Linked DNA regions of Oreochromis niloticus. The protein of the gene in region 1 purifies or fractionates together with the protein of each later gene. This does not show direct contact. Links are inferred from orthologs where the notes say so. Each region holds a gene or a part of one and is shown in the gene's direction. Other genes may lie near its edges.

Region 1 (6,860 bases):
GGGTGTTCTGTTCGTCCTCTGTTTGCTCTTTCCTGGTTTTGTGGGTCCAGGTTTGTCTTGTTTAAGTAAGAATGAGTCGAAAAAGAAGCTTCTCTTTCCAGAAGAGCAGCCTTATTGGTCAGGCAGGCAGCAGGATCTCTCGGGTTCAGGGTCCAATAGCGTACTGCCTCTGCAGTGGCCTGCTGTCCCATCTGTCCCGGTCCCTAACTGCTCACTGTGTGGGGCTATATTTGGCCCCTGGCTCAGGTTTCACAGCCAGAATACTGGCACGAAGAGATAGTGTTGAGGTAGTCCAGGGGAACAGGAGGCGGCGGTGACATTTTTATACTGAACCAGTATTTGTTAATTAAAAACTGTAAAGCCATGCTGTTATAATACTTCAGATTGCACACCTGCAGTGTACTCCTATAAGCCCTTACCAGTAGGTTTACAACACCAACTAATCTGTGTAGTCAAGATAAATAATATGCATCCTGCAGAGTATGTCATTCTCTATCTAGTTGAGCCATCTGACACTAAAGTGACTTGTTAGTGTTGCCTCTGTGCCCAACTGAGCTGACCCACTGACCCCAGACCCCCCGCTAGCTGGTTTGCCTAGAGGCATGGCATCCTACAATGGTCCTGGGACCAACACTTGGGTCGAGCTCAGGGTTCAGCTTCAGTTTAGTCAAGGTCAGTACTGTAAACATAGCAGTAAAGGTCTAAATGCAAGTGATGGCTCCAGCATTCATAATTTAATTCCTTACATTTTAAGAGCATCAGAGAAAGATGGCAACTGCTTGTCACAGGGCTCATAGCCTCTACGGTGATGCCACTGTACATTTGACACAAGACACTGTGTCAAATGCTACAGGGTGGAGGTAAACAACATATAAGCAGATGTTGTTGCTTTTGATAAATATATTTATTGTTCAAAAGCAGGATGCAGAGAAATATGAAAAAGGAAACAATTGCGACCAACTACCTGCGTCAAAAAAAAAAACCCAATATGAAATAAAGAGCAGCAACATTCTTACTCCTAATTTGACTAAACAAAAGAACAACACTGTGTGGTGTTTGTGGGGTGCATCTAATTGTGTGTTTAAACCTAGCCAAACCACTGGCACTAATCATTACTTCAAAAACACAATTAACTTCACCTAGTATCTGCTTGCAACCTTGCAAGGTCCTATAGCACACAGTTAAACTTTGCCCATGCATATGGGCAGTAATAGTAAAATTGCAGTTTGTAATTTATAGCGACTAGTGACAATTTTGTGCTTTACTGTAATGGTACACAAATGCACCTTTTAAAAAAGGTATTCAATTATGTATAGGAAATACGCTATTTATATCGTGGTTCATTCACCAGCTGCTTTGGATGTTATCAGTACATTCAAAGGACTTTATTAACAGTAATCAGCTCCACAGATATTAGCCAGTACACTTGGAAATGAACACGGGCATTTGTATAGTGCTTTTCTCAAAAGCTCAAGGCTTTATTCATCTCATACACATATCCACTCTTACTGTGTATGTGAGTGTAGAGTATAGACATGTGGAGATCCATAATTAGCCCTACAAGGTATATATGTGTCAACTGTGCCTATAGAGAGACAAAAACGGACTTTTACTGTACTCTATTTTTCGTGTAAGGCCAGTACAGTGGGGTAGAAAGACGCAGACAGTGAAGGGCCATGCAGCCTCACTTGATCTATTTATGGGCCACTATCACATTTTGTGCTCTCAGAGCTATTCTGGTTCTTCATCAATCCACTGATTACAGTCAAGAGTAGGTGATAAGTCTGGAAGGAATTTCCTCTGTAATAACTATCTAGTCTGCACGCACAGACACACCAGCTAATGAGTAATCTTACATTCAACTTGCTTGTCATCCTACCCCACTTAGCAATAACTTTGTAAGGTATCATTTAAAAATAACCACATTATTTAGCAATGACTACTAAGCATTACAGTTTGTGGTCTACTGTATGTAAGAATAGCCATGGAACATTTCCAGCAATCCTTTATGGGCTACCATGTGTGCAAAAGGTCTTCCATCATAAATTATATTTACAGTGTTTTGGTTATAGGCATATGGTCAGACATAGACATCATTTGTTGATGCTTAGAAATATCAACACATCTATGTATAATTGTGTAATGTATAATTTTGTATAACATTAAGCCACCGAGGTAGAATTAATTTTTTAAAGGGCTTTTAACAGCTAAAAACAACTTACAAAAGTACCTGTCTAATACAAAACAGTAATCCAGGAACACACAAGGAGTTTGAGAGCACACAGGGCCAAACAGGGACAGACAGACTGACAAGACTATACAGGGCTCACTCAACACATGTAAAACTAATGAGGTCAAGGCAGACAATCACAAAGAAAACAAAAACCTTGGTTGCCTGGAATGTCAGAAAAAAGGTAGGGAAGAAAACTAAGACTACAACAAAACAGATGGAGACAAAGACAAGGAAGTACATGAGACACTAGGAATAAAAGAAAGGATATTTAAAAAAATCAGGGGCCAAAACTCAAACATGTGAAAGGAAACCAGAACTACTACACACACGAATCCAAAAGGTTAATGCAACAGAGAATTAAAAGGTTGTTCTTTTGACACAAAATAATGAAAATGTGTTCCATAAATAAACCAGGTATACACCCAGGAAGTCAAAAGCTCCTGAGTTATTTATTACAGCTGAAGTGTTTCTGCTGTTTCTACTGCTGCACAAAAACAGACATGTTAAAACGTGCATAAATGAATGTGAACAACACAAAACAGTTTCTTTGCAATGGATTTCTGAAGATTAAGAATGGCTAAAACTCTTTAGTGTCAGTTTAAAATGGCTTTGCACATCTGTCTGCTTTTTTAAGTGCTAAAAACCGTTTGCTTCAGTCTTCAGTTGTTTTTAGACTCATTAAATTCAATCATTAAAGAATACAGACATAAAATTGACAAGTCTCTGCTTTTTTTAGTTGGTGTATAACAATACAGAAAGGGCCATGTGTTGCATATAACAATGACAATGACAATTTTATTTATATAGCACATTTCATTACATGAAAAGTCGACATGAAAATGAAAAAATATTAATAACTCTGTAGGTTTAAAGTGCCCTAAGGCAGTGAAAACAGCAAAGCAGAACAAAACAAAATTTAAAAAAATAAAAAATAAAAAAACAAACAAACTTATAAATTGTAGGACTGTGTGAATAGAAAGGTTTTTACTCAGTTTTTGAATGTACATACAAATGTAATTGGTCTCAAGTCAGCAGGTAGCTTGTTCCAAAGAATAGGACCACAATAACTGAACCTACCTTCAGCATACTTAGATCTGATTCTAAGAACAGTTAAAAAGTCTAAATCAAATGACCTGAGAGGTCACACATAGCATTGCAATAATCTAACCTACCTGATGTGAATGCATGGACCAGTTTCTCAGAGTCAGCTTGTGATGGAAGTTTTCTAACCTTAGACATATTTTTAGTCAAGGTAACCTTATTGATGGGATTATCAAAACTGAGATCATTGTCCAAAATGATGCCAAGGTTCCTGACTTGCTCACTGTGTTTCAGAGAAACTGATGACAAATAAGAACAAATTTTTTGTCTTTGACTTTTTGGACAAACAACAAGTATTTGTATCTTGTTTCTGTTCAGTTCTAAACACATTTGATAAATTCACTAGTCAATGTAATCGATGCAGCTCATTAGTTTGTGAAAACATTTTAAATCATCAGAGGAGAGAAGTGAGAAGTACAACTTTGTGCCATCTGCACTTTTCCAGTTGTCATTTCAAGTTTCATTAAATTGCGTTTCTCTCTTAGTAAATTTGTCCCTTGCTTTCCGCCGTCGCTCCGCAATGATTGGTTAAAAGAAAAAAATGGCGGCGTCCGCGTAGTTGTAAAAACATCGCGAAGCCGCCTTAAAATTAAAATTTCGGCGGCGCAAGACAGTTTGGAACTCACTGTGTCGTATTATGGTTATCATATTTCCCCGCTTGTAATGTCCTAAATCATAAAAAATATTATCCATGGCCTTCTTTCTGCATTAGCTTGCTAGCAAAACCGCTAGCATAATATCAGTGGAACAGAAAGATCTCATCTGTCAGCTTTAAACGGTAAGTGAAGCTTCAGATTAGTTTAGATTTAGGTTGTGGTTTAGGTTTAGATATTTTATTTATTTTTATTTTTTAATGCCTGGCTGTTTTTAACAGAGATCATAAGAAGTAACCTCATGAGGTTCAGGAACCTGTCAGAAAACTATAAAGAAATCTGATTTTTATCAGTCAGTGAATCTGTTTATCTTAATGCACTATAACAGTGTTGTTTAATATGATCTCCATAATCATATTAGAGGTCCACGACAATACAGATACAGATTTATGACAACTTAAAGAAAAGTTCTGAATCTTTTGACCCTGTGTTTAAGGGGATCTTTTTTGGCGTATGAGATCATTTTACGGGCATGGTTTGGCTCCACTTGCCCCCTTTGGCCTGGGTGTTAAGCATAACTCTCAAGGAACAGTAGTGACCCACTGAATGCCTTTGCAGTGGGTAAAAATTACAGTTATGTCAGAAATTACTGCAGTTTTTCAAAATAATCTGCTGTCCCTTTTTTCCTTTAGAAAGCTCAGCGTATTTTCAGATTTTGTTTCAGTTTTTTTAATCATAAAGACATTCAATTTTAAATTCAATTCAGTTTTATTTATATAGCGCCAAATCACAACAGCAGTTGTCTCAAGGCACTTTGATATGACACCCCAGTACAGGGGCCAGTTCAGTATTCAGCTGAAAGTGGTGTGAGTGTTGTGTAGTGGTTACCACATTCACCTTCTTTTAAAGCTCCCTGGTAAGTGAGAGCGTTACGTCTGGTGCAAAATCTGCCAAATCAAACTCGTGGATTCATTTTATTTTCAAGGGAGAAAGGGGGGCCAAAAGTTACCAGCCAGTGGTGTGATTTACACCTCTGCAGGCTGAATTTGATCTAAGAGGCTAATGCCCTGCTACCTTTTCTCAAACACCCCTACCTGTCTGCTTCCCGAAATACCTGTACAGAAACTGTGGTTCACTACAGAAACGTTTTCTTTGGACAGGTACAATGAGTATGTTATCTGCAGGTTATATTAATTAATAAAGCATTAATACTTCAAGCGCCGCTCCGAGCTGGCAGCGAGTATCAGCAGCTCCGACCTGACCGAGTCCTTTTTTCTCTTTAATTATTCTATATGTTTCATTTAATTTTTGCAGAGACGAGCATCAGTAAATAATGATCATTTAAAAAAAGTGCACTCACAAAAATGAATCAGGCATTAGTTACATCTATCTTAGTATATCTTATCTTGTGTCTTATCTTGCTTGAAACAGCCCACGGCACAAAAAATAAACAGAATGGTGAATCAATTAAAAAACAGCCTGGTGGTATCAGTGTTTAAGAAGGTCACTATACTGTATGTACTAACCTTGAATTTAAGGCTAAAAAGACAGCTGTAATATTGAGATGTTAATAAATCATCTAGTTATTTTATATATAATTTTTTTTCCTCTTCATTCTCTTATAAAAGAGACGACAAGGAACATGTTATAACTGGAAAAATATATCTACATGGAAATTGCATATATTTTTAAAGACATATTAGACTCTTTAGAATCTACATTTTAACACAAGTAACTGTAGTTTCAGAATGTATTTGTTTAGTAATTTTTCATTCTTAGCATTGATTTGCAGAGAAGAAATCAATGCTAAGGTACATTTAATGTGTTCTGGCAGCACTTGGTGGCCAAACATCTTACTAAGAGACCTGACTTTAGTTTTTCCTTCAACGTCAACAACACTAATAGTACAAATAATTAGCTAAAAAAAAATTGAAGCTGTTAATTAGTTAGTTTTCTGTACTTTTTGCAAATAACCGATTGATAGTAGTGTCTGATTTGTGAATTGTAATAATATTGTTGATCAGTATCACAGTGAAAAATGTATTTTTTTCAAGGGAGGTAATGAACATACTATTTGTTTCTGCTGTCAAATAAAGAGTTTGACATAAGCACAATAGTGTCATTCTTCAACAAAGGCTCAGCTGATTTTTTTGGCTCTGACACAAATAAAAGCAAAACTGTACAGAGAAAACGTTCACGAAACGCTTAACAAAAAATGTGTTTTCCAAGTATTTTTGAAAGCTGATATCTCTTATTTTTATTAACATTTTTTCAGCCAAGAAAATGCCTGCCTTTCGGCAAGTAGGAGAGAAGCAACTTCCTAACCCTGTACTGTGTATGGCATGGTCTCCCAAGAGGGATCTGATTGCTCTGGCCAACACAACTGGAGAGGTACTATTAAAACAATTATTCTGAAACACAGCTCCGTATTCTGTGTGTGTGTGTGTGCTTTTTAATACTTTAAATACTTGGCTTATGTTTTTCCATAGTTGCTGCTTCACCGCTTAGCTGGTTTCCAGCGTGTTTGGACCCTACCACCCAGTGAGTATACTGGGAAGGAGATCACAGCAATTGCCTGGAGACCAGATGGCAAAAGTAAGGAGTGACTGTGTGCATCTTTTGCTTTTTTCAGTCATGTGTTTGATGGAATCATGATGTAATATATCCTCTCTTCAGTTTTGGCATTCAGTCTTGGAGACACTAAGCAGGTAGTCCTGTGTGATGTTGAGAAAGCAGAGATCCTCCATGTGTTTCCTATGCAAAGTCCTGTAACTTGCATGCACTGGATGGAGGTGATTGAGGAGAGCAGGTATGCATCGATTGAGGCTCAGGAACCAAGCCAATGGTGTGGAGGGTGTGTAGAATAATGAGAGTGATTGTTTTGATGTGTTTCAGTGCCCTCAGCTCTTTTTACAACTCAGAGGATGAATCCA
Region 2 (7,374 bases), on another chromosome or scaffold:
GTACTCTCTTGTGTCCCATTACTCCTGTGATTAATTCAGAAGTAAAGGTCCAGACAACCTTGTCATCTTGTTCAGTGCTTCAGTGCTAAGCTGTACCTCAACACAACTGAAATGAAGAAACTGGCTGTATGCCCGGTCTAACACACAAACAAGTATGGAATTTATGAATGTTGATGAAATACAATACAGTATGCATTCCACGTGCACTTTCTGGTCACTGTGGAGTTCATTAGTCTCATTTAAGAAGTGAAGACTTTGTTCCAGAACCACCAGATGAAGCTTAGGAGGCAAAAGAAAGATAACACCTGGTTGTTAGAAAGCTATTTCCTCAAAAAGAACAGCCCATTTTTTGTACATGCAGTCATCTTCCCTCACACAACTCTCAACACAGTGGGATGTGTGTTGTGTGTTCCTGTATTTGCAGAAACACAAAACAGACAAACAGTTGTGATAGACTAAAGTTCAATTTAGTTTTATTTATACATTTACTAATTCTGAAATTAATTTAAATCATTACCTGTTTGTGTTATAGTTTCTGAGCTGGAATGAGGCCTAGCTTAAAAAATGTTTCAACCAGCATGCAGGAGGTGGGGTGACCTTTAAAAAGACATCCCCACTGAACCTGGCCTTCTCTGCATCTGCTAGTTACTCCACCAGGTTCTGAAAATAGTAACAGACTGAAAAGCTCAACAAGCCCCACATGGCTGGCTGGGTACAGGTATCAGCCATTATGAACGTAGTTCATTTAGCTCAGTGGATGCAGATCTGATATAGATATAATGTACTATATTTTTTCAATAAAGAGATGTTCATTTTAGCAGTAAAAAATATTGTCTCTCCATTGGCTTATTTAGCTAAAAACTGAGCTTATTATTATCAGTGACTCTGCAGTGTAGTTGTTAACACATTTGTATTACATTTTAAAGATTATGTAAGGTTTTTTTGAGGAGTTATCAAATGCTACATTGTCTGATCACATCTAACAAAATGGCTAACAGGCTTTGATCAAAGTCCAGTATCTGCTGGTGTTCTTGCCAGATTCATGGCGCCAGAACAATTCTTGAGAAGGCTTGATGCCAGCACCCACAGTCTTTATTATGAAACATGACTGGGACTGTAGTCCTTTGATACAAAACCACAGAGCTGTTAATACAGACCAACAGAGGCTTTGCGAGTGATACCAGTTTGGCTCTCGAAGATGAGGGCTGGACTGAAGTTACAAATGACCTCAAGCCAACCAACACTATTTGAGAGATTACAGTTCTCCTAACACTATGTCTCTAGATTTACTGCCTTTATGTGGCTAATTACTGTAATTGCAACTTGTATAATTCAAACCTGGAATATAGATTTATCGTTTATCCTACCATCTCCAACTTAAACTGGTTAATAAAATGGTCACACAGGAATGACAGCAAAAACTTTAAAAATCAGATCTGAGTGATGGACTGCATACAGGTTTTGCAATGCGAAAAGGCCAGTTGTTTTACAGAAGAGTAACAACTGAAAAGATAAAGAAAGACGAAATTCAACATTTAGATATAATTTAACCTCAAATTTAATTCATGATAAACAACTTATCAAATGCTGAACTTTCACACAGTATTGCTATTCTAATGCTTTGTCTAATATTAATCCTTTGTGTAACATAAACACACAAATTCACATTTGCATGAATGAAACACCATGAGGTTTTGTAAGTTGTCCAATGATACTTTGACATGTAGACCGGAGGACCTGTGATCAAACCACTGACCGATAAATAAGCCTTTCTCCCTCCTGAGTCACAACTGCCCTCAATTATGAAATAATTTTAGATGTCAACAGCACAAAATACTGTCAATTTTAAATATAAAAAATTAATATTTCACAGGCAAGAAGGTCATCACCGCTTCTCCGCCTCAACTTATTTGAGACATGTTGCTGCTATCAAAATCAAAATGTTCTCATTTTTTCCTTAAAATGGTACATTTTCTCTGTTTACAGGTTCTGTATGTCTATTATTATCTATTATGAATAAAATATGGGTTTCAAATCATTGTATTTTGTTTATATTTAGGTTTCACACTGCTTCACAACTTTTTGGATGCTGAATCAGCTGATGCAAGATGATACAAGTTGAAGACTGCACATTGTGTCATAGAGAAAAAGACTTAAATGAGCTTTTGGAGACTCCAGTGATGAATGGCAACATGCTTGTGGTTGAGGAAAAAGACATCAGGCTATGACATGCATGATGAGTTACCTCATTACCTTCTATAGCTAGGAGGAAAGCTGAAGGGACTGCATTAAGAAGTGCTTTAGAACATCTACAGGGAACTTGAAAAGCTAATTTATGGAAGGATGTGTTGTTGTTATGGGTCCATTGAATGTGCTTAATCCTCTTGAGCCTTTTTATGTAAGGATGTATGCAAGGATCTGTAGCCCAGAGTCTGTGACTGCAATTAATGCAGAGTTGTGTGTGCTTCAAGTAATTCTATTCTCAAGTAGTGAGAATAGAATTTATTTTCTCCTGCTAATATGGGTCCCAGTTGCAGCCTTTGTTTCAGCAGAGACCCTGGGACCTCCCTTCCTTTGGCCATCTCCTCCAGGTATTCTGGGTGGGACACTGAGATCTTCTCAATCCAGCTGAGAAACATAATTTCTTCAGTATGTTCTTAGTCTGCCTAATGATCTCTTCTCAGTTGGAAGTTCCCAAAATACCTCCTACGTAAAGTGTTTTGGGAACTTCCAACTGAGAAGAGATCCTCTCATCATTCTGATGAGAATGAAGAATGTAGTCATTCTGATCAGATGCCCAAACCACCTCAAATGGCTCAGCTGTAGAAAAGCAGCAGCTCAACTTGTTTGTTTTGCATATGTGGAAATGTGCAAAACAGCCAGGACCCATTCCCCAACCCGAAGGTGCAGGAAGCAATGTCTTATTCACTGGAGAGAACCCTAATATATAAGTACCTAACTGTTGACATATGAGCATACACTTTTCTGCATTTATCTTTCATCAAAACCAACTCTAGTTGTGGGCAGTACTTCAAAAAAAGATTGGTTTCAGAACCTATTATCCCCACTGAGGTGAGGCCATACATATGTATTTCCTATCTTGCAACCTGTGGTATAAGTTCCAGCTGTTTCCCTCCTAGAACCAGTCCACCCCCTCCCTTAGCAAAATAGTGCCTGACTCCTACAGCCTCTCCTACAGGTGGTGGGCCCACTAGACAGACTGGCCCATGTGGATAATTCAGTCAGAGTCTGGCAGGTCCCCATGAGTTATGACCTGGCCACCATACACTTGCCAGTGGGCCCCTCAGTGGTAGGGCTGAGGTATCCCTTTCCTGGAAGAGGTATCATATTTCATAGGTTTTATCATCATAGGTATCTTCTGAATCACAGTTCGTTCGACTCTTCACCCAAATCAATTTGTCTTAGGAGATGATACCAGGGAACAATTGTCTGGAAAACAAAGTTCTGAGATCACTGGGGTATGTAAAAAAAATATACAAAGTGTGAGAAAATCCAAGTACCATAATAGTCAAAACACTGTAAATATGAAATAGAAATTTGAGAAAAAAACATTACCTGACCTAAATATGAATGACTGTAAATTTTCACCTACTAAGTACTGTCTGATGTTTCAAATGTAAATGAAACGTACGAATTAGAAGTGAAGGTTAACAGATGTGTAAATAATAATACTTTCTGACAGTTTGATGTGTGGTGTTCATATCCTGTGTCTGTGTGGGGACCTTGTTAATGAGACCAGCTGCAGCTGGAAAGAAGCCATTTTTCATGAATCACAAGTTTCCCAAAGAAGGTTCGAAGCTTTTCATTAATTTTGGGAGAAGTTGGTCAAATCTAATCTGCCCACTTAGTGGTCCTGGAGGTGTGCAGGTCCCGCATGGCTTTCCTCCAGAAAGAAAAAGCCAATTACTGACTGAGAAAAAAACATCTATGATATATATATAAAAAAGCACATAGCAAAAAGAGAAGTACAGCGCCAACAAGACTTAAAAGCTAGCATTAACTGAAATTGTCTTTCTTTTGTTTTGCAATTTTGATTCTTTTGTGTGAAAGCTGAGGGACTTTTCCAAGTCTGCATACAATGGTTGTTTGGACCCCTTTAGGATTATTAAAACGTGGTATCTACAATATTAACCTATTACTTCAGTCATTTGCACAGTGACACATTACAATAATATACAGTCAATTAAAAGATAGAAATGGCTTTAACATAAGAAAATAAATAAATGCCAACAATCCTGTGTAACGTTCAGACCGTGGCGTTGAATTATTATTCTACACTGCTCTCTAGTGTCGCAAAATTGTAAGCGTAACCTAAGACGTCATCAACCTTGCGCCCCAATCTCACACGCATGCGCAATTGTGTGGAAGCTGACAAAATTCAAACTGGGTGGCGGGTAGTTGAAGTCGGAAGACGTAGAAGAAGAATTAAAAGAAAAACGTACAATATATTTATTGTTGAGAACTCAACCAAAGTGTTAAGAAAATGACAAGCACGTTGAAGGGAATTACTCTCAAAGGAAGCGCGGAGTTAGTAGCCGAGTTCTTTTGTAAGTATTTCTGTTATTTCATCTTTTAGTCGCTCGTTTTCGACATGCATGCATGTAAAGCTAATATGCTATTGGGCCTACATAGTGCCCGATAACATATTAGCATCAACGCAGCATGTATGCACTCACATGACAAGCTGTTGATCAAAAATAAAGTGTTTAAGCCTGACGTATCCTATAAGCGTCAATTCACAACTTCAAACCGAATAATTTGTAAAGACTGTCTAGTTTTCGGCCCTTGTAGTGAGAATCGTGAATGTACACCATATATGGTTTCTATTCTGCCGAGCTAATATATTCATTGATTCCCAGTTAGTTTTCTCTCGTGTTATTAGCTGTTTGTGTGTAGTTGTTTTTATACTCTTCTATCCCTTTTAAGTTTGAACCACATAAGCCTCTAAATTTTACGAATACTAGAATTCTGGCGTATTTGAACCCTTTGATTTCCCCCTTTGTCATAAACAGCTTTCGGCATCAACAGCATCCTGTACCAACGGGGCATCTATCCTCCAGAGACATTTACCAGAGTTACCCACTATGACATGAGTCTCCAACTCACTACTGACCTCAAGCTGAAGAACTATCTGACTAACGTGGTGTCTCAACTTAAAGGTATCTCAATAGTGGGCTTCTCCACTCGTGACACAACCAAGTAGAAAGTGGAAAAACTCAACAAGAAAAAGTAAAGGCTTAAGCCGTACTGAAATACAAAATAAGATGATGTTTGTGAACAATGAATGATTTTGTCTATTTATTTTGATAATTCGGTTATCGGTCTTTACTCAATAAATGATAGTTTATAGTAACTTGTTAATTGCGATTTCTGAGTAGGGCCACATGGTGGTGCATTTCCCCCTCCCCTTTTTGTTGTGTTGAATTGGATGAACTCAGATGCCTATTAGACTCATGCCTGAGATTTTAATTGGTATGACCTGGCATCTTATGATCAACGTTAAGTAACATACAAAGCAGCACACGTGAGTTTCCATTCCCATGTTACACAAATTTGTGTTAAGCTACTCTTAGGCTCTTGTCAGGTGAACTACAAGCTATTTCTGGTTAAAAACACTTAGATTTTTTTTTTCATTTTTGATTTGCCAATTTTTGATTTTGCCATAAATACTTATGTGTGTGAATGAGGAAAGAGATCGGTGCACCCTTTTCTGTCCAAGGTGATGCCATTGTAATATTATATTTTATTTTTTATTTTGTTCTTAAATCCAATGCCCCCAACTGTTGATGGCTGCCTCCTCGGGTTTCTTCCTGTTGAAAAGAAGTTTTTCATTCCCATCAATGCCTAGTGCTTGCTGTTCTTGGATCATCTGATTGTTTTTCTTTTTAAGCCTGTGGGGGTCTTTACTTTAAAGTATAAAGTCTCTTGAAGTGACTGTTGTGATTTTTAGTGCAATATAAATAAAACTAAATAGAATAAATGTCTCTGGATTTTCAGTTCAAATTTAGTTAATGTAATTCATATCAGAATATTCATATTTTTGGGTGCTTATGTCAAATCACTGAAGCTCTCAACTGTGTAATGCTAAGAGTAGTAAAATTACAGAATACAAATCATATCTAGGAGCACAGAGTATAAGTGCTTTTTCTCCTTTAAGTTCTAAAGATGTTTTAACTTGATTATTGGGATTTTAAGAATTGGTGTTAGTCAGAATGGTTACTGAATTATTGATGATGTTGGTTAGATAAAGACATTATGGTTGAGGGTGGTCATTCTTGCCACAATGTGTACAATATTTAGTGTACATTTGCATTTACAGCCCATATTCAGAATGGCTATTTTTCTCACAGACGTAGAACTCGTGATCTTTTGGATATAGTTGTGGATACAAAATTCTCTACATCTTTGTATTATGTTTTTAGGGAGTTTAACTATCTCTCACCTTTCATGACAACACATCATTAAAAATTTGTTTGCTCTTTTTGTGTTGCAGAGTGGCTTTTTGAGTGCACTGTGCAAAAGCTGGTGTTGGTGATTACATGTCTGGAAACCAACGAGGTGCTCGAGAGATGGCAGTTTGACATTGAGTGCGACAAGTCTGCTAAAGAGAGCAGGTCAGTACCTCTACTAGACTTTTTTCTTTTTTAAAAAAAAGGCTCCATGCGAAGGGTCATTAATTTGCTGTCTCATCTAATTCCAACACCTGGCATGTTGCACTTGTACTTCCCCCACCATCGGTTTGAGTGGAGTGATGGCCGTTTCTCAATTCTCAAGTACGCGAGTACGTACTCGCGTTCTCGGTGAGTACGTACTCGCCGAGAACACACGGGAGTACGTACCCGCCGAGAACGCGAGCACGGACTCGCGATATGTACAATTGGAACACCTGTGTACGTGATGATGTCACAGGTCCGGAGTTTTTACTGCCGTCCCCTCTTAATTTAACTGTGAGTAACATGTTATGAAGCTTAACTTTAATCACAGCCAAACCGGTTTACTCAGGAACAAATAAAACACTGAAATAAACCAAACATTAACATTTAGAAGTGATCTAAGTGACTTATATATCATTTTTAACCTCAGTAGTGGAACCTCTATTAATAAAAATTAATTAGAACGCTTTATTTTTATTTTAGTGGACACTCAATACTATAGACAGCTGCTGGGGTTTCTTTAACCTGAGTAGTGAGAAGACCGCGAGCGGGGGGGTTGAAAACGATGTGCCCGGAGTCCGCTGTTGAGTTTTGGACGAAATGCATTCTGGGATATTTAGCTGTACCAAGTCCACACCGATGCATGCTCGATAAAACGGGCGGAGCGAGAACACATCCGGGACTTTTTCGCGTTCTCGGC
Region 3 (7,620 bases), on another chromosome or scaffold:
TGTTTGTAGTGAAATGACATGGAATTTCTAATTTTGCTTCCAGTTTTTAGCAGCCACATAATCTCCTTGGTGGGTTTAATATGTTTTTTATCATTTTTTTTGTGTTGAAAATAAATATGATTACTTACTTCTTGCTTTTAGTAACCTCTACTATGTTTTTCTATGAGATATGTGACATCAACTCTGTGTTGTATGTATAGATTACTGTTAATAGCAGCAACACAGAAATGTTCTAACACAGTTCTTTTATCAGGATTTCCCTTTTTTCTCATAAAACCATTTGTTCTCGTTTCTCTTTGCTTTTCTCACTCTATTTAAGGCCAATGAACAGGCTCAGTCTGGTGGGGCAGTTCAGTTTTGCAGAGATCCACTCCTGGGTGGTTTTCTGTTTGCCGGAGGTACCTGAGAAAACACCCGCAGGAGACAGCATCACATTTTATTTCCACAACACCTTCCTTGGCACACAGCTTGAAGCCACCTACTGGTAAATGCAGGCACACAGTAGACAAGCTCTAAACTACATACACTTTAAGTTTTTCAAGAGTTTAATAGGTAGTTTCATATAGTTTAATATATTGAACCATTTTGTATTCGCAGCAAAGGGGAGGGTCACTTTAAGTCTGACAACATCTCTACGATCTCCATACTGAGTGATGTTCTGTCTAAAGAAGCTACCAAAAAGAAAATCAATCTCAACATTTCGTACGGTAGGTGTATCATTGTTCTATTTCAATACCATCTGTCAGGTTTTATTTTTGTTTTGTTTTTTTAACAGACGAAATGGAAAACCTGTATTTATGTTTATTAATCTTCCAGAAATCAATGATGACTCTGTGAGCCACACCCTTAACATGATCCATCCAAAGCTGGAATACCAGCTGTTGTTGGCTAGAAAAGTTCAGCTCATCGATGCTCTTAAAGTAAGTGTAAAAGCAAAACAGATATCCGTTCCTTTGAACTGTGTTGTGTAAATTTGCAGTAAAGTGACAACTTTATTTCCATTGCATCCCTGCCAATACACTGTTGAAACTGTTGCAAATCTGCTGTGCACAGTTTAGTGAAACGATACAGTTTGCTCAGATGTTTCTTTGAGTGTAATTTAATGAAGCTACTAATATTTGCTTCCTATTTCCCAACATGCGTCTCTACCTCCTCTGTGGTCATCAGGAGCTTCAGGTTCATGAGGGGAATGCTGATTTCCTCATTCCAGAGTATCGCAACATCTTGGATGAATCTGCTAATCTCCTTGAAGAGTACAAGAAACAGCCAGCACACCTTGAAAGGCTTTACGGTGCAGTGTTTTAACAGTTTCATGTAACTGATCTCATTGTGATCCTTACCGTATTAATATTGTTGGCCTATGGTAGTTAATATTTTTCATTCTCTTTCCTGTAGGAATGATCACAGACCTCTTCATCGACAAATTCAAGTTCAAGGGCCAGAATGTAAAAACCAAGGTGTCCGCATTGCTGGAGATACTTGATAACTATGACTTGAATTCTCTGTTAGATTTTTTTAATGAGGCCTAAGTTTTTAATAGCTCAGAAGGTATTCATTTACTTGTCTTTGAATGTTTGTGCTATTTTTGTATTCTAATGAAACACCTGTTTCATGGTAGTATCTCTGTGTTTATGTAATGTTATTAAATATATTTAGTTAGTGTTTGTCATAGCTACCGAGCACAATATTTAAATATTTATGTCTTTTAAAGTATCTGGAAATAACTACAACAAAGTTGCCTATATGAATAGCTGAAATTTGAAGTGACCAAATATATGGTTGTTAAAGAAACATGTGATGTATATTTTTATGTTATGGTTTTCATAGGACTGATGTTCATTTCTTCAAATAAAAATGAAATGATGTAAAGTTCATCATTCAGTGGAATAATGCTACTACAAAAATCAACTTGTATAGAAGAAGACTTGCATAATACAGTGAATTTTAACAAAGAGCCAATCAAGTCTCATTCATTAAACGTACATCTACACTATCATGGATAGCAAATCTATAGATTGCTTCTATTGTCTGATAGAAGCAGAAGTACCAGAAATCAAGTCCTGCAAAATCACACTAACGCACAGTTGTGGAGGTTAATTGAATACATATACTTTGAAGGACTGAAAGTTCCAAAGTACTTTTTCCACAGAAATTGTATTTTTTGCTACTTTGTGACTTTACTGTGCATTACCATTTATTTGGTATCTAGTGTCCTTGCACTTTTAAATTTGACATACAAGTAGTTTAGAGAATATAAAGCAGAGGCAGATTTAGCAGTTTGCATTGTCATTTAAATTGATGCCATCTGAAACGCTCCCTAAAAGATGAGCAAATATATATATGTAACATGCTCTTTAAAGGGGAATTTCCTTTATTATTGTAAGTATATTTTGCTGTTAACATTTAGTGAATATTTAAACATTATATTATATTAAAGATTAAATATTTAAGCTTTTACTTGCAATAAAATACTCGAGGTTATTAAAATTGTTAACTAAATGACTGGATAGAATAGAATAGAATAGAATAGAATTCAACTTTATTGTCATTGCACATGCACAGGTACAGGGCAACGAAATGCAGTTTGCATCCATCCAGAAGTGCTTTAGCCGTGATATAGATATATTACAATATATATTAGCAATAATAGAGATGTGTAAGTATATTACAGAAATGGGTCTATTATGGTATGTTATAATGTACACAGTGTGAAGTATGTTATGAATATTCTATAACTATAAGTATGTACAGGCTGTAGTGAGTACAAGCTATGTACAGGCTATGAACAGGATATAAATATGAAATAAAAACTATACAGAAATCTGAGATATACAGTTATACAGAAATGTGAACTATGTAAGTTATAAACAGTTGTAGGATTAAAAATTATCGTATGTACAGAATGATTATTTACACAGAACTATACAGTAGTGATAAAGTGCTAGTGGTTGTGGGTGTGTGTATGTTCAGTCCATGAGTTTAACGTGGGTCAGATGTCAGGAGGCAGAGTTCAGGAGTCTGACAGCTGTGGGGAAGAAGCTATTCCGGTACCTGGTGGTCTTAGTCCGGAGGCTCCTGTAGCGCCTCCCAGAGGGCAGGAGGGTGAAGAGTCTATGTGATGGGTGACTGGGGTCTCTGATGATTTTCCCAGCCCTTTTCAGACACCGCTTCCTGTAGATGTCCTTTATGGCAGGAAGTGGTGCTCCGGCGATGCGCTGGGCAGTTTTCACGACCCTCTGCAACGCCTTCCGGTCCGAGGCAGAGCAGTTCCCGTACCAGACTGTTATACAGTTGGTCAGGATGCTCTCGATGGTGCAGCGATAGAAGTTCACCAGGATGTCTGAGGACAGGTGGTTCTTCCTCAGAGTCCTCAAGAAGAAGAGGCGCTGGTGAGCCTTCTTGACCAGCTTGGAGCAGTTGGTCGTCCAGATGAGATCCTCGGAGATGTGGACTCCCAGGAACTTGAAGCTGCTCACACGCTCCACAGCCGTCCCCTTAATGTGGATGGGTGGATGTGGGTCAGCATTCCTCCTGTAGTCCACGATGAGCTCCTTAGTCTTCTCAGTGTTAAGCAGCAGGTTGTTTGTGTCGCACCACTCAGCCAGACGATCCACCTCCTCCCTGTAGGCTGTCTCATCGTTGTCGCTGATGAGGCCAATCACCGTGGTGTCATCTGCAAACTTAATGATGGTGTTGGAACCATCAGCAGGTCTGCAGTCGTGGGTGAAGAGGGAGTAGAGGAAAGGGCTCATCACACAGCCCTGTGGTACACCGGTGTTCATTGTGATTGTAGATGAGCAGCAGTTATCCAGCCGGACATGTTGGGGGCGGTTGGTCAGGAAGTCCAGTAACCATTTGCAGATGAGGGAACTGATGCCCAGGTCTGTCAGTTTCCTGATGAGTTGTGAGGGGTGGATTGTATTGAATGCTGAACTGAAGTCTATAAACAGCATTCTGGCGTAGGTGTTGTTGTTGTCCAGGTGTGAGAGGACAGAGTGCAGATGGATGGACGTACAGGATGGACGTATAGTTCAAACTGCTTTGTAAAAAATATTTAAAAACAGTCATATCAGTAAAAGCTGACGTTTAGTTGAGTTTATAGCAGTGACTGCCTGTTCATATGTCATATGTCAACCATAGCGGTCCACTATTTATGCAAAAGTAGAAGGATATAAACTTTGGTTTTATGTGCAATTTACAGACAGCAAATAATTCGTTTCAGACTGATTTTAAAGGCAAGCACACTCACTTAGCCAGGTAACAACTTCTCTGATTATGTATTAATTAAAAATTAAACTATAACCAAGCCAATTCAAAAAGTGGTTTAATTAATTTTTGTATTGCATGCAGTTAGTACTTCCCAACACAAGTCTTCAGTCAGATTACAAATGGTTCAGATAAACAAAATGACTAAATGCCTTGGGTAAACTGTGTGTCTGAACATTTATGAAGACAGCAAAATAAAAAAGGAAAAAAATAAGATCTTATCCTCTATGCGTGCATTTGCTACACAGGCCCAGCTGACTTAATAACGCGATTTTACGATCAAACGTGCCAAACCGGTTTTGAATTTAGTAATCAGAAGATTATTGTACTCTTCGGGTTCCCGTACATTTTACGCGTCACTGCCTACGCGGCTTCTGATTGGTCTGTTTCAATCCTCGCGGGCTACTTGAACTGAGAGAAAGCTGCAGTCTTTACAGGTTTCTGTGTAAATGGATCGAGGTTAGCTCCCTTGTTTCCAGGTTGGTAGTGAATTCGAAACTCGTGAGTTATGGCCACTTAAATTGTTGTTTTTCGACTGTAGTCATTGTACCGCCGATTGTGCATGTCTTGTTTTTGTCTGCTTTGTTTTAGCACGGGGGTTCCAAGTGTGGTTACCATCTCAACAGCTTAGTTTTGATTGTGAACAATTATTTAAGCTTTCTTGGCAAGGCAGCAGCTAATGATAACCTCGCTATAATTATCCATATACTTGATCCCTTTCTCCACGCATCATATTTGAGTGCTCATTTCCCAGGAGAACAAGCACCCAACAATTGTAGTTAAGCTAGCGGAAGGCAGGCTGGAGTTGGAGGGCAACATGTCAGGCGCTAACAGAGCACAGGGAAGCGCGGCTAGTGACTACCAGAATCAGGAAAATGTACTGCAGAGACTCAGAGGCTCGCTCAAAGCCCGACCTGTGGCGTCTGAAAACCAAGAAAACCTTCCTCCGAAGCAAGCCGCCAACAGAACCGTGCTAGGAGCCCTGCAGAACAACCAGAGGAACAAATCCCAAGTCGGCGGAAAACAGGTAACAATGCTAACTGGTGGCTGCTTAGCTGGTGCTGCGGTTTGCTGTTGACTACATGTTTTGGAGGCAATACATTTTACCAAGTCCCTGCTTGTTAAAAATACTTGCTGCTTTTCTGATTTCTTAAAACTTTATATTTACAAACTCGCGAGTGTAGTTGTCTACGCCCCGTTCCCACCAATTGACCGCCATTTTAATATCAACATTAACGTGAAGTCAGTCATGTAGTTGGCTGCTTAAAACAATAGACATGCCTTCTTGAGGGTGCTTTATTAACGTTTCCCTCCCGCCAGTAGAGATAACAATTTAGTATTAACATTTAACCTGACTGGTGTAATATCATCTGAATGTTCTCAATCAAGTGCAGAACACTTCTTGTTCTAATGAGCAGTCTTCATCTAACCACTAAGTTGAGCAGCATGCATGCCCTTGGATGGTGTTGCTGTTTCCAATCTAACAAGTTTCTATCCTGTGGGCCATGGCTGAATTTTTCTCTTCTATTCCAGGATTCCACACAATCCCTGTCTTGTAAAAATGAAGACTTTGGGAAAAGCTGCTTTGATAAACCGCTGGCCAAGCAACCCGCTTTCCAGATCCATATTGATGAGCCTGATGGAGCCTGCATCAAGAAGCCACAGCAGGCAGTTGAGAGTATCAAAGCAAAGCCCACAGTTGAAGAATCCCCACTGGCGATCAATGCTGTGGCACGGCTCCGGCAGCCCCTTGCCACTATTGAAATTCCATCAGCGATGGATGTCAGCTTTGGTGGGTTTAAAGGAAATGATGCTAGCAACTGTTACTCTGATCTGGGTTTTTACTGGTTACTAAATGTAAAACTCTTCTCAGATTCTCCAATGGACATGTCTGTGGTTGAGGGGGAGGAAAAACCAGTGAATGTAAATGAGGCCCCAGAATATGCAGCTGAAATTCACAGCTACCTGAGGGAGATGGAGGTGAGAAATTAGCATACGAAGTGGTAAAGCTGAAAAGCATATCAGAATTTGCTGGCAGTGCTGCCTTCTTGGACACGTCCCCTGGCAACATTTTCCAACCTCAACCTGTTGATGGTGCTTATCTGATCCTGTTTGCAAACTGGCTCTTTCTAACCAGATTGTCACCCCACAGGTGAAAACCAGACCTAAAGCTGGCTACATGAAGAAGCAGCCTGACATCACAAATAGCATGCGAGCCATTCTGGTTGATTGGCTGGTCGAAGTTGGCGAAGAGTACAAGCTCCAGAATGAGACACTTTATCTGGCTGTTAACTACATTGATCGCTTCCTTTCCTCAATGTCTGTCCTAAGAGGCAAACTTCAGCTGGTTGGCACTGCAGCTATGCTGCTAGCTTCGTATGTACCCATTTATATGTCAGTTTCTACAAATGTTCAAAGCCCACTAATTCGCAAACATTACAGTTGTTCCTTTTGAATGTTTTACAGGAAATTTGAAGAGATCTACCCACCAGAGGTGGCAGAGTTTGTTTACATCACAGACGACACCTACACAAAGAAGCAAGTGTTAAGAATGGAGCATCTGGTGCTTAAAGTGCTCTCGTTTGACCTGGCATCACCAACAATAAACCAGTTTCTCACTCAGTACTTCCTTCAGCACACTGTTACCAAACAAGTGGAGAGCTTGGCAATGGTGGGCATGACATTTCTGTAATCTTAAAATGATCTAAGTGCATTGTCTAAACATTTGTTGTTTTTCATCTTCAGTACCTTGGTGAGCTCAGCCTGGTTGATTCAGACCCCTTCTTGAAATACTTGCCATCACAGACAGCAGCTGCGGCCTATATCCTGGCCAACACCACAGTGACTGGTGCCTCATGGGTAAGATCTATAGACCCATACAAATGGGGAACTGGGAGGTATTGGTCTGTGTATATAGGTGGAAATGCCAATGTTGTCCAGCAGAACAGCCAATAACTGCAAAACTTGTATCCACTCTTAACTGCGGTTTAAAGTTGATCTTGTCAAAGTTCATGCAAGCTTTAGTTTAGTGTGGGAAAATGTATTGGTATATTTGAAGACACAAACTGACCAAAGTTGTGCTCCTTAGCCCAAGTCCTTGAACGAGATGACTGGCTACTCTCTGGAAGATCTGATGCCATGCATTGAGGATCTTCACCGCACATACCTCAATGCCCCTCAGCATGCACAGCAGTCTGTCCGGGAGAAATACAAGGGCTCAAAGTAAGTCAGCAGATTTGCTTAAACTTCAAGGGCAACCTTTGTTTACATTTGGAGCTGTCTGATTATATAGTGCTAGATTTTAAGTCTAAACCCTTCTCTTCCACAGGTACCATGAAGTCTCAAGCATCAATG
Region 4 (7,725 bases), on another chromosome or scaffold:
TATAAAAGTATCTCTGGATATTCAGAATTTTGGTATCATAACAATCAGTTAAGCTGACATCAATAGTACACAAGTAAAAGAGACTAGGGGGAAAGTGGTAGCAGCTTAACAGAGAACACAAGCTGACATGATGCAGCTGACATACTGACAAGGTAACCAAGCTCTGGTTTTTCACTTATGTAAACAAACTTGAGTAAATAAAACCCAGCAGAAATAAACTATTATGACAAACTCGTGGCACATAATTTCAGAGGAAAACAAATCTGTGCTGGAGTCCCAGACACTTATTTGGTGGATATCATGTAAACTGCAAGCCCACGTTGTTTACTGATGCTGACACACTTCACTGTGGGAGGTATCTAGCATCTGTGAATTCACAAAGAGCAGGTGACTAAAAATGAATCAGCAACAAGTACTATATACACTCAACTGAGCTGATTGAATTTTCCCGAGCCACCGAGAGACCGACCCACACAAGGCATTATGACGAATATCTCAGTTTTTTATATTTCAACATGGCATGTTCTTGAAGCACTCTTTTAACCTTGGTCTTATAGGAAATAGATCAATCTTACACTCTGGTTCCATGGGAGCAGTCTGTTGCTAAGGACTGAAGAAACAGAAAGATTACTTTCCACATCCATTCATTTTAAAGCCTTAATTATACTTCGTGTCTGTAAGCCTGCTAGAGTCCTGCCAATTTTTTGTAACAGTGTGGATGTCCACAGAAATTCTATGATACGATGCACCAACAACACATACAGCCCACAGAAAGTCTTCAAATAAAAATAACAGGAATAATTACTTGACCACTGACCTGTGGTTTTCCTCATTTGATGTCATATACAATAGATATTCATAATAAAGATGACCAAATTATGTCAGCATATGTACAATTAATCAGTATGACCCAAAAGCTCAGGGTTCACGCTGATTTAAATGCTCTGTTTCAGGCAGTTGTTTTTTTTTTTTAATAACTCTTAGCTCTGTGTTATGTCATTGAGAGGTGATAATATGGCCCTGATATGGCTAAACAAATAAATTGAATACAAACATGAAAACTATGGGAACACAATAGATGAACCTTTACTTCACAGTTGAGCAAAAACTGAAACTCCATAAATTTTCATTTGAACAACCTGTTTACAGAATCGAATCGTGATGTCCAAAAATAATGAAGACCGCTGATATGAATCACTGACTTGAAAAGAAAAACTGCATCAAACACTGTCAATGATTCATTTTCCCACACACAGAGTAACTAATATTTGTATGTGATGGTCAGTTGGTGCAAAATCCCAAATCACTTGGATGCTGTCATTTTAACTGGATGCTGTCATTTTAATACAGCATGCTATATACAAACATACATAGCACTTGTGTTTGTCGTGTGCTGAAATTGGACTCACAAAATGTGTTACTTTAGCTAAATGGACCAGTTTGGCTGCAGTGTATTAACAGTGAATTAATATCATTTACATGATTAAGATTGCACGATTTCCCGGATATTGTTTTTTATATTTTAGTGATCCACGGCAGATTTCATCACCTGATCTTGAATGCTGCATTAAGTTCTTTTACCCTATCGGGTAAAATTATAATTGAATTATAGCATTAAAGTCATTAAATGAAAAGCTGCACCTCATATAGCAAAGTGTTGACTGAGGTATTGGTTTACTTTTAAAAGATGAGAACTGAAGGAACTGGACAGTCACGCAGCTGCAAACCAAACTTTATACCACGGGTTTTAAAGACTCGTGAATCCATGTGTCATTTACGGGGCACAACAGCAATAAAATCAACTACATCTCTGAAAAGACTTCAAAAGGAGAACAATAAGAGTTTCAGCATTGAGGGCTTGAATACTAATATAGATTGCCTCCCGCGTTAGACTCCGGGCCATATTTGATATCAGAAACGTTAGATTGTATCTTAAGTGGCTATATTATGGATTTGCAATTTCAAATCCATAATACTGATGTATTAGTATATAGATCTATGAAACCTTTGCGGTGCACAGCGCTACCATTAACAACGCTAAAGTGTTTAGAGCAGATGAGTGCCTGGTTGATTATTCCTTTGTTCCGTTAGCTAACTAATGCCCAACTTGCTAGCAAGCTAGCTAGCTAGACTGGTCCTGCAATGTGTTGTTTGAGGTGTTTTTGAGCTCAGTATACTTCAAAATTATGTATTTATTCACAACACAGGTAAGCTATTCAAAGCTGCTTAGCCACACACTCAGCTAGACTGATAAAGGAATCCATTATGCTGTTCGGCTACCTTTCTGAGCTTACTTCTATTGCGTAAACACAGCTTTGCCAAGCCACAAAAAAGCTAACGTTAGCTGCTAAGGTATGGAGCCTTTATGTCGGCTCTATTTGCTTACAGTTTTACATTATTATTACCTGCCAGTTGTTTTCGAAGAAGCAATGCTGATTGTTCGGTCATGGTATGCACGCGCAGTTGAAAAAAAGCACTCCGTGTAGACAAACACTTTACGAAGAGAAGAGCTAAACCCGAACAAACCGAGCTGAGATCTTAATGCTGCCCGTGCCTGCTGCTGATTTCCCTCTGTGTTTTGACACAAGCCTGAGCTGTACGCATGCGCGCCTGCGGTCGACTGTGTTTATGTGTGGCTTCAAAGCAACATTTAAATCAACAAGCAACAAACTGGAAAACTGTATCAGTCTTGTACTGCAGCAAAATCAAAATTATTCGCCAATGCGTTCGGGGAGAGATGTGTAGATGTGATTCAATAAGACTGTAGCGTGTACGAATGAAACTGGTAAATGTCCCAGAAGGTTGAATCTGTTCATCTGGACGTAGCGTTTTCAGTGGTTGAAACGTTTCGTCACTCATCCACTTCTTCAGTCTCAGCTGACTGCAGGATTCCCGAACCTTATAAACACTACAGTTGCACAATGACTGAAACCAGCCCACTGAATGAACAATGGGCTGTGAGGTCAGTTCCTTGATCATTAATATACAAATTGCCATGACCATTGATCGAAGCCCATTGATCAATGGCCATAAGTACCATTCACAGAGAGTTGGGGAATGGCTGCAATCACAGCATTGTAAGATGGCGAAAGATGTACCCTTAGGCCCCCTCCTCAGTTCAGAGATGGTCTTTCCCTTTTCACGTAAATTGCCTTCTTGACTCCTGCTCAAGCTAGTGTTCCTCCCTGCCCAGGATGTGTACATCCTCATCATTGAAAGAGTTTCCACTGGCTGGTAAATGTGTACCAGCCCCACCCCCAACCATTCAGATAAAGCATCTGAGGTCAGTTCTCAGGGAGACTATGATTGTTAGTGAGTGTTTTCTCTTTTCAAATAGCTACAGACACCTTTTTGTGATGATTTACACTGATTGATTGTTGTTTATTGTACAGTTTATTATCATTATTGTTGTGTGGTTTGTAGCCATACTAAAGTCTATTAGGTTGTGGTTTTGGCAGTCTCAGTCCAACCTAAATATTGGTTGGAGGAACCGATGTGCAAACTTTTTTTTTTTTTTGCTGAACATCATTTAGACGTAGTGGCAGCTCATTGCTTGGATTAAGTCAGCAAAATTAGCTTTTGAGCAACTTTGAGCAAGTAACATTTGGGAGTTTAATGTAACTGAAATGCAAGGTTACATTGTTATGTTCAATTAAAATTATCTTAAAATTCATCCAGTTATCTCTGTTTCACGTTGTCCTTTCACTTGCCCTTTTTACTTGAACACTTGTGATCACACAAAAAAGTGCAGTGCCTGAACAGTTATAATGTAAAACATCACCTCAACACAGCGCAATTCACCAAAGTGTCCCAGTTTACCTGAGTCCACCCAAGTAACAGTGCTTATTCAAGTGGTATCTTTATGGACAATTCTTAAGCAGGTGCGTCTCCAGAATATTTTTAAAAGGGTGGCCATATGGGGGCCACTAAAATATTGGGGTGGCACACCAAAAACAGAATTTCCAGTTTTATTAAGCTGTTGTCAAATATAGGTTACTTGAAAAAGATTTCCTGCTATTAAACTTGATATCACTGAAAACAGGTACATATGAAAACCAAATAATATTTTGAAATCCACTACTGGAAAGCTACCATGTGTACACATCTAAAGAAAATCAGATGATATATTAAGCTCACCGTTCTTTTGCATTAAAGAGAACGTGTTATACTCTTTTCCAGCTCCATTAACAGTTCAAAATAATCCTTATTCGTATAATAGTGGGGCTCACTGCTACCTTCATTATATTTCATCCACTATCTCAAAATTAGCATATAGGGTAGTCTGAAGCCTTTGTTTTTGACTCATATTTTAATATTAGATTAGCGACAATGTAAACTGTTTTAATATATTATAATTATATCACGTACTTTTATTACAGAATTTTGCAATAGCGTGATTTGATAAAATACGACAGTTTAGGTCAATAGTTGAAACAAAATTTCCAACTATTTTAAAAATAGTGCTGCAGCAAAAACAAATATGATGCATTCAAAGCTATCGCGACATGTGAGATTCAACAAATTTAGAATAATTAAATAAAGACGCCTTGGTCTGTAAAATATTTTGTAAAATGTAATTTCTCGTCCAACGTCCCTAAAATAAAAGTAAAGTCGATAAAATACTTATTTTACTCAACATCAAAGATTTCAGGCAGGTTTTTATTTTAAAGTTTTGAAAATATACGAGCTTTTGAAGAGCATTTAAACGCAGCACTATGCGGAAGGAAGGTCAGCCGTTGGACGTCTTATGCGTCACATGCTAGCTAACATTAGCCGTTCCAGAGCCCAAACTTTTAACCTGAGCCGGACACCTACAGCGAGCCTTTCAAATAATCCAAAATGAATGTAATAGATTATGTGCGGGATATGGCTGCAGCAGGCCTTTACTCTAATGTCCGGATTTTGAGTAGTTTGTTGCTGACGATGAGCAACAACAATCCGTAAGTCGTGGTCTGAGCGGGAACCGTCTAATTCCCGAAGACTGCTTTTCAATACCAGTGGTAGCGATACCCCCAAGCTAACTAGTCAACAACAGCTAACATTATTATTTCTACTGAAGCTTTTCATTATCCACTCATTATTGGATAGTGTTTAAATGCGAGTGCAATTTAAATTATATACATTGTTTACACTGTGTGTACTCCTTCACTATATAGTCGCATCTACAAGCGTATGCACTTAACAATGCTGCTATGAAATAGCTTGAAATTTAGCTAGTATTGTATTAGAAAACTTGTCGTAAATGTTCTCTTACCCAGTCATACTTTTGACACTCTAGAGTGACTGACTTAAAAACGGTAACTGTGTAGGACAATTTTTATGAGTTTGTGCATTGATGTTTTTTCGTGTGTCATTCAGTTTTGATGGTTTTCCTCAGTCTGAGCACTTTATTGTTTGTGTGTTGTTGTTTTTTTTAATGGAAGAGAGCTGTTCTCGCCGGCTCAGAAGTACCAGCTGCTGGTTTACCATGCTGATGCCATCTTCCATGACAAAGAGTATCGCAACGCTGCCTGCAAATACAGCATGGCTCTGCAACAGAAGAAGGTGCTCAGCAAAACATCAAAAGTTCGTACTTCAACTGGTGGAGCTGCCTCTAACATACAGGCACAGGTGTGTTTGACAATTTCCTGTAAACAAAAAACCCCTGAAATCTATAATAGCACTTTGGTCACCTGGGGGATTTTATTTTTTATTTTAAATTTGTTATAGAAATCTTTGGCTTGGCTTGGCTTGACACAGAATTGAACATTAGGGTTGCTGACGCCCAACATCTCTCCCGAATTTTTGACTCTTTCCATAGTAATTAAAAGTTGCCTTTCTCATTGAAACATTTAATAATTACATTTGATAAAGTTTGACTGGAGTAATGTAGATCCTTATCAGCCACTAACATTCTGGTAATTTGAGGTGTCTTTACCTGCAGTTGTGTTTTTTTTTGTTTGTTTGTTTTTTTAACAACACTAAAATCTCATTTTACTTTACTTTCACACAACGTAAATCTAAGGCTTTCATCCTGCCAGTGATTTATTAAAATGCCTTAAATGTAAAGATGGTTTTAGATGTCCTGCAGCACCACATGAATATCCAGAGCACAGGATGACTGGTTAGAATAATGTACATCTACAATGAATGTTGTCTTTCAGAGTTTGCCTTCAGAGATTGAGGTAAAGTACAAAATAGCTGAGTGCTACACCATTCTGAAACTGGATAAAGATGCCATTGCAGTGCTCGATGGGATACCATCCAGACAGAGGACTCCGAAGGTACAGTCTGTTAACACAGTGACTGTCAGTCACTGTTTACCTCATGCTTTAGTTTTATGTATTTATTTATTTTTTATACTAACTGATTAGACTAGTAACTGTGTGAATTCAAATAGTTGCTTTAGAACTAAATAATGAATGTACCTACAAGTTTAGGTTTGGTAACAATTCAGCAGTAGTTGTTTTAAAGTAAAATCACCTTCTAAGTAAAAACTAGCAGTATGAAATCTGTTAATTGGAAATAGTGTGACAGTTACAGTTTGAAGCCAAAGACTGGTCTACAGTCAAAAATACGACTGAAATGAATCTTAACAAACCTTACTAAAATTTGTTCACTGATGCTAAAATTTGTTAGTTGGTTGGTTTTCATGATATGCTAGGGTATTAGTTATAAGAACAGAAGTCATTAATTGAAATCAGAAATTACCTACATTCATTCTGACCCCTGAATTCTGGTAAATTTAGGGCCAAAGCAGTGTTGTGTACTAGTTTTCAGAACTCTACTCTTCCTAAGTTATTCGTCCAGTTTTGTTGAAATGGGGCTCATATGATATGGAACTGTATGAAGCTCTATTTAACCTTTTGAAACCAGCTCAAGTGCAGTAACTTGTATAAGTTGTAGTAATTACCTTTTTGCATTCCTTCCTGCCTCAGATCAACATGATGCTAGCTAACCTGTACAGGAAAGCTGGACAGGAGCGATCTGCTGTGACGAGTTACAAAGAGGTCCTCAGACAGTGCCCTCTTGCCTTGGATGCAATCATTGGTATGCATGTTCACCGTAGACTCTGTAATCTCGCAAGCAGCACTTCATCTGCTAAGATGTTTGTACCTGCAGTCCTCTCCTATGTCCATGCCGCTTTAAAACAAACTGTCTGCTTGGATTTAGCATCTCTTTTAAACAATTGAAAAATGTGTTTTTCCTTTAGGTCTTCTCTCTCTGTCAGTCAAAGGAGCCGAGGTGGCTTCCATGACTATGGACGCGATCCAGAGTATCCCCAACCTTGACTGGCTGTCTGTTTGGATCAAAGCGTACGCCTTCATACATGCAGGGGATAACCAGAGAGCTATTAATACCATTTGGTGAGCAAAGCAATAATGATTTGTACACAGTGACTGAATATTGTGAGCCATGTTTTGTGACAGTCTTAACTTCCTCCCTGAAACACTCTCAGCTCTTTGGAGAAGAAATCACTTTTGCGGGACAACGTGGACCTCCTGGTGAGCCTGGCAGATGTCTATTTCAGGGCAGGTGACACGAAAAATGCAATTCTCAAATTTGAACAAGCCCAGATGTTGGACCCTTACCTCATCAAAGGTGCGTTACAGGAGAGAACTTTTTGACTTACACATGTATTTTGTAGTTGATGACAGTTTTATTATCATATTCTGTGTGTCACACAGGTCTAAGTAGCCTTAATAAAGAAAGATGTGGAAACATGTTTGCTTTTTCAGGTATGGA

The links.
Region 2: the proteins of anapc4 (region 1) and mad2l1 purify together in Homo sapiens (affinity purification with western blotting; 14 studies listed by BioGRID and IntAct, with this or other methods). This does not show direct contact. The link is inferred for Oreochromis niloticus from reciprocal best matches to the Homo sapiens genes ANAPC4 and MAD2L1.
Region 3: the proteins of anapc4 (region 1) and ccna2 purify together in Homo sapiens (affinity purification with western blotting; 3 studies listed by BioGRID). This does not show direct contact. The link is inferred for Oreochromis niloticus from reciprocal best matches to the Homo sapiens genes ANAPC4 and CCNA2.
Region 4: the proteins of anapc4 (region 1) and anapc7 purify together in Homo sapiens (affinity purification with western blotting; 14 studies listed by BioGRID and IntAct, with this or other methods). This does not show direct contact. The link is inferred for Oreochromis niloticus from reciprocal best matches to the Homo sapiens genes ANAPC4 and ANAPC7.

The regions. Positions count from the first base shown.
Region 1 is NC_031986.2:37,123,572-37,130,431, forward strand, and holds the start of anapc4 (anaphase-promoting complex subunit 4), read left to right. Parts: upstream 1-3,848; 5' UTR 3,849-4,112; intron 4,113-6,202; 5' UTR 6,203-6,210; coding exon 6,211-6,318; intron 6,319-6,416; coding exon 6,417-6,522; intron 6,523-6,603; coding exon 6,604-6,736; intron 6,737-6,822; coding exon 6,823-6,860. UniProt on the Homo sapiens protein: Component of the anaphase promoting complex/cyclosome (APC/C), a cell cycle-regulated E3 ubiquitin ligase that controls progression through mitosis and the G1 phase of the cell cycle.
Region 2 is NC_031967.2:3,973,052-3,980,425, reverse strand, and holds the start of mad2l1 (mitotic spindle assembly checkpoint protein MAD2A), read left to right. Parts: upstream 1-4,366; 5' UTR 4,367-4,504; coding exon 4,505-4,568; intron 4,569-5,033; coding exon 5,034-5,180; intron 5,181-6,514; coding exon 6,515-6,635; intron 6,636-7,374. UniProt on the Homo sapiens protein: Component of the spindle-assembly checkpoint that prevents the onset of anaphase until all chromosomes are properly aligned at the metaphase plate.
Region 3 is NC_031966.2:11,829,604-11,837,223, forward strand, and holds the start of ccna2 (cyclin-A2), read left to right. Parts: upstream 1-4,598; 5' UTR 4,599-4,745; exon of another isoform or gene 4,746-4,767; intron 4,768-4,857; 5' UTR 4,858-5,083; coding exon 5,084-5,293; intron 5,294-5,799; coding exon 5,800-6,058; intron 6,059-6,139; coding exon 6,140-6,246; intron 6,247-6,418; coding exon 6,419-6,642; intron 6,643-6,732; coding exon 6,733-6,937; intron 6,938-7,011; coding exon 7,012-7,125; intron 7,126-7,354; coding exon 7,355-7,488; intron 7,489-7,594; coding exon 7,595-7,620. Other genes in the region: BBSome complex member BBS7, read left to right, coding at 320-484, 598-707, 817-920, 1,168-1,291, 1,396-1,529. UniProt on the Homo sapiens protein: Cyclin which controls both the G1/S and the G2/M transition phases of the cell cycle. Functions through the formation of specific serine/threonine protein kinase holoenzyme complexes with the cyclin-dependent protein kinases CDK1 or CDK2.
Region 4 is NC_031977.2:6,444,850-6,452,574, forward strand, and holds the start of anapc7 (anaphase-promoting complex subunit 7), read left to right. Parts: upstream 1-4,722; 5' UTR 4,723-4,839; coding exon 4,840-4,940; intron 4,941-5,423; coding exon 5,424-5,610; intron 5,611-6,143; coding exon 6,144-6,263; intron 6,264-6,917; coding exon 6,918-7,029; intron 7,030-7,192; coding exon 7,193-7,346; intron 7,347-7,438; coding exon 7,439-7,581; intron 7,582-7,718; coding exon 7,719-7,725. UniProt on the Homo sapiens protein: Component of the anaphase promoting complex/cyclosome (APC/C), a cell cycle-regulated E3 ubiquitin ligase that controls progression through mitosis and the G1 phase of the cell cycle.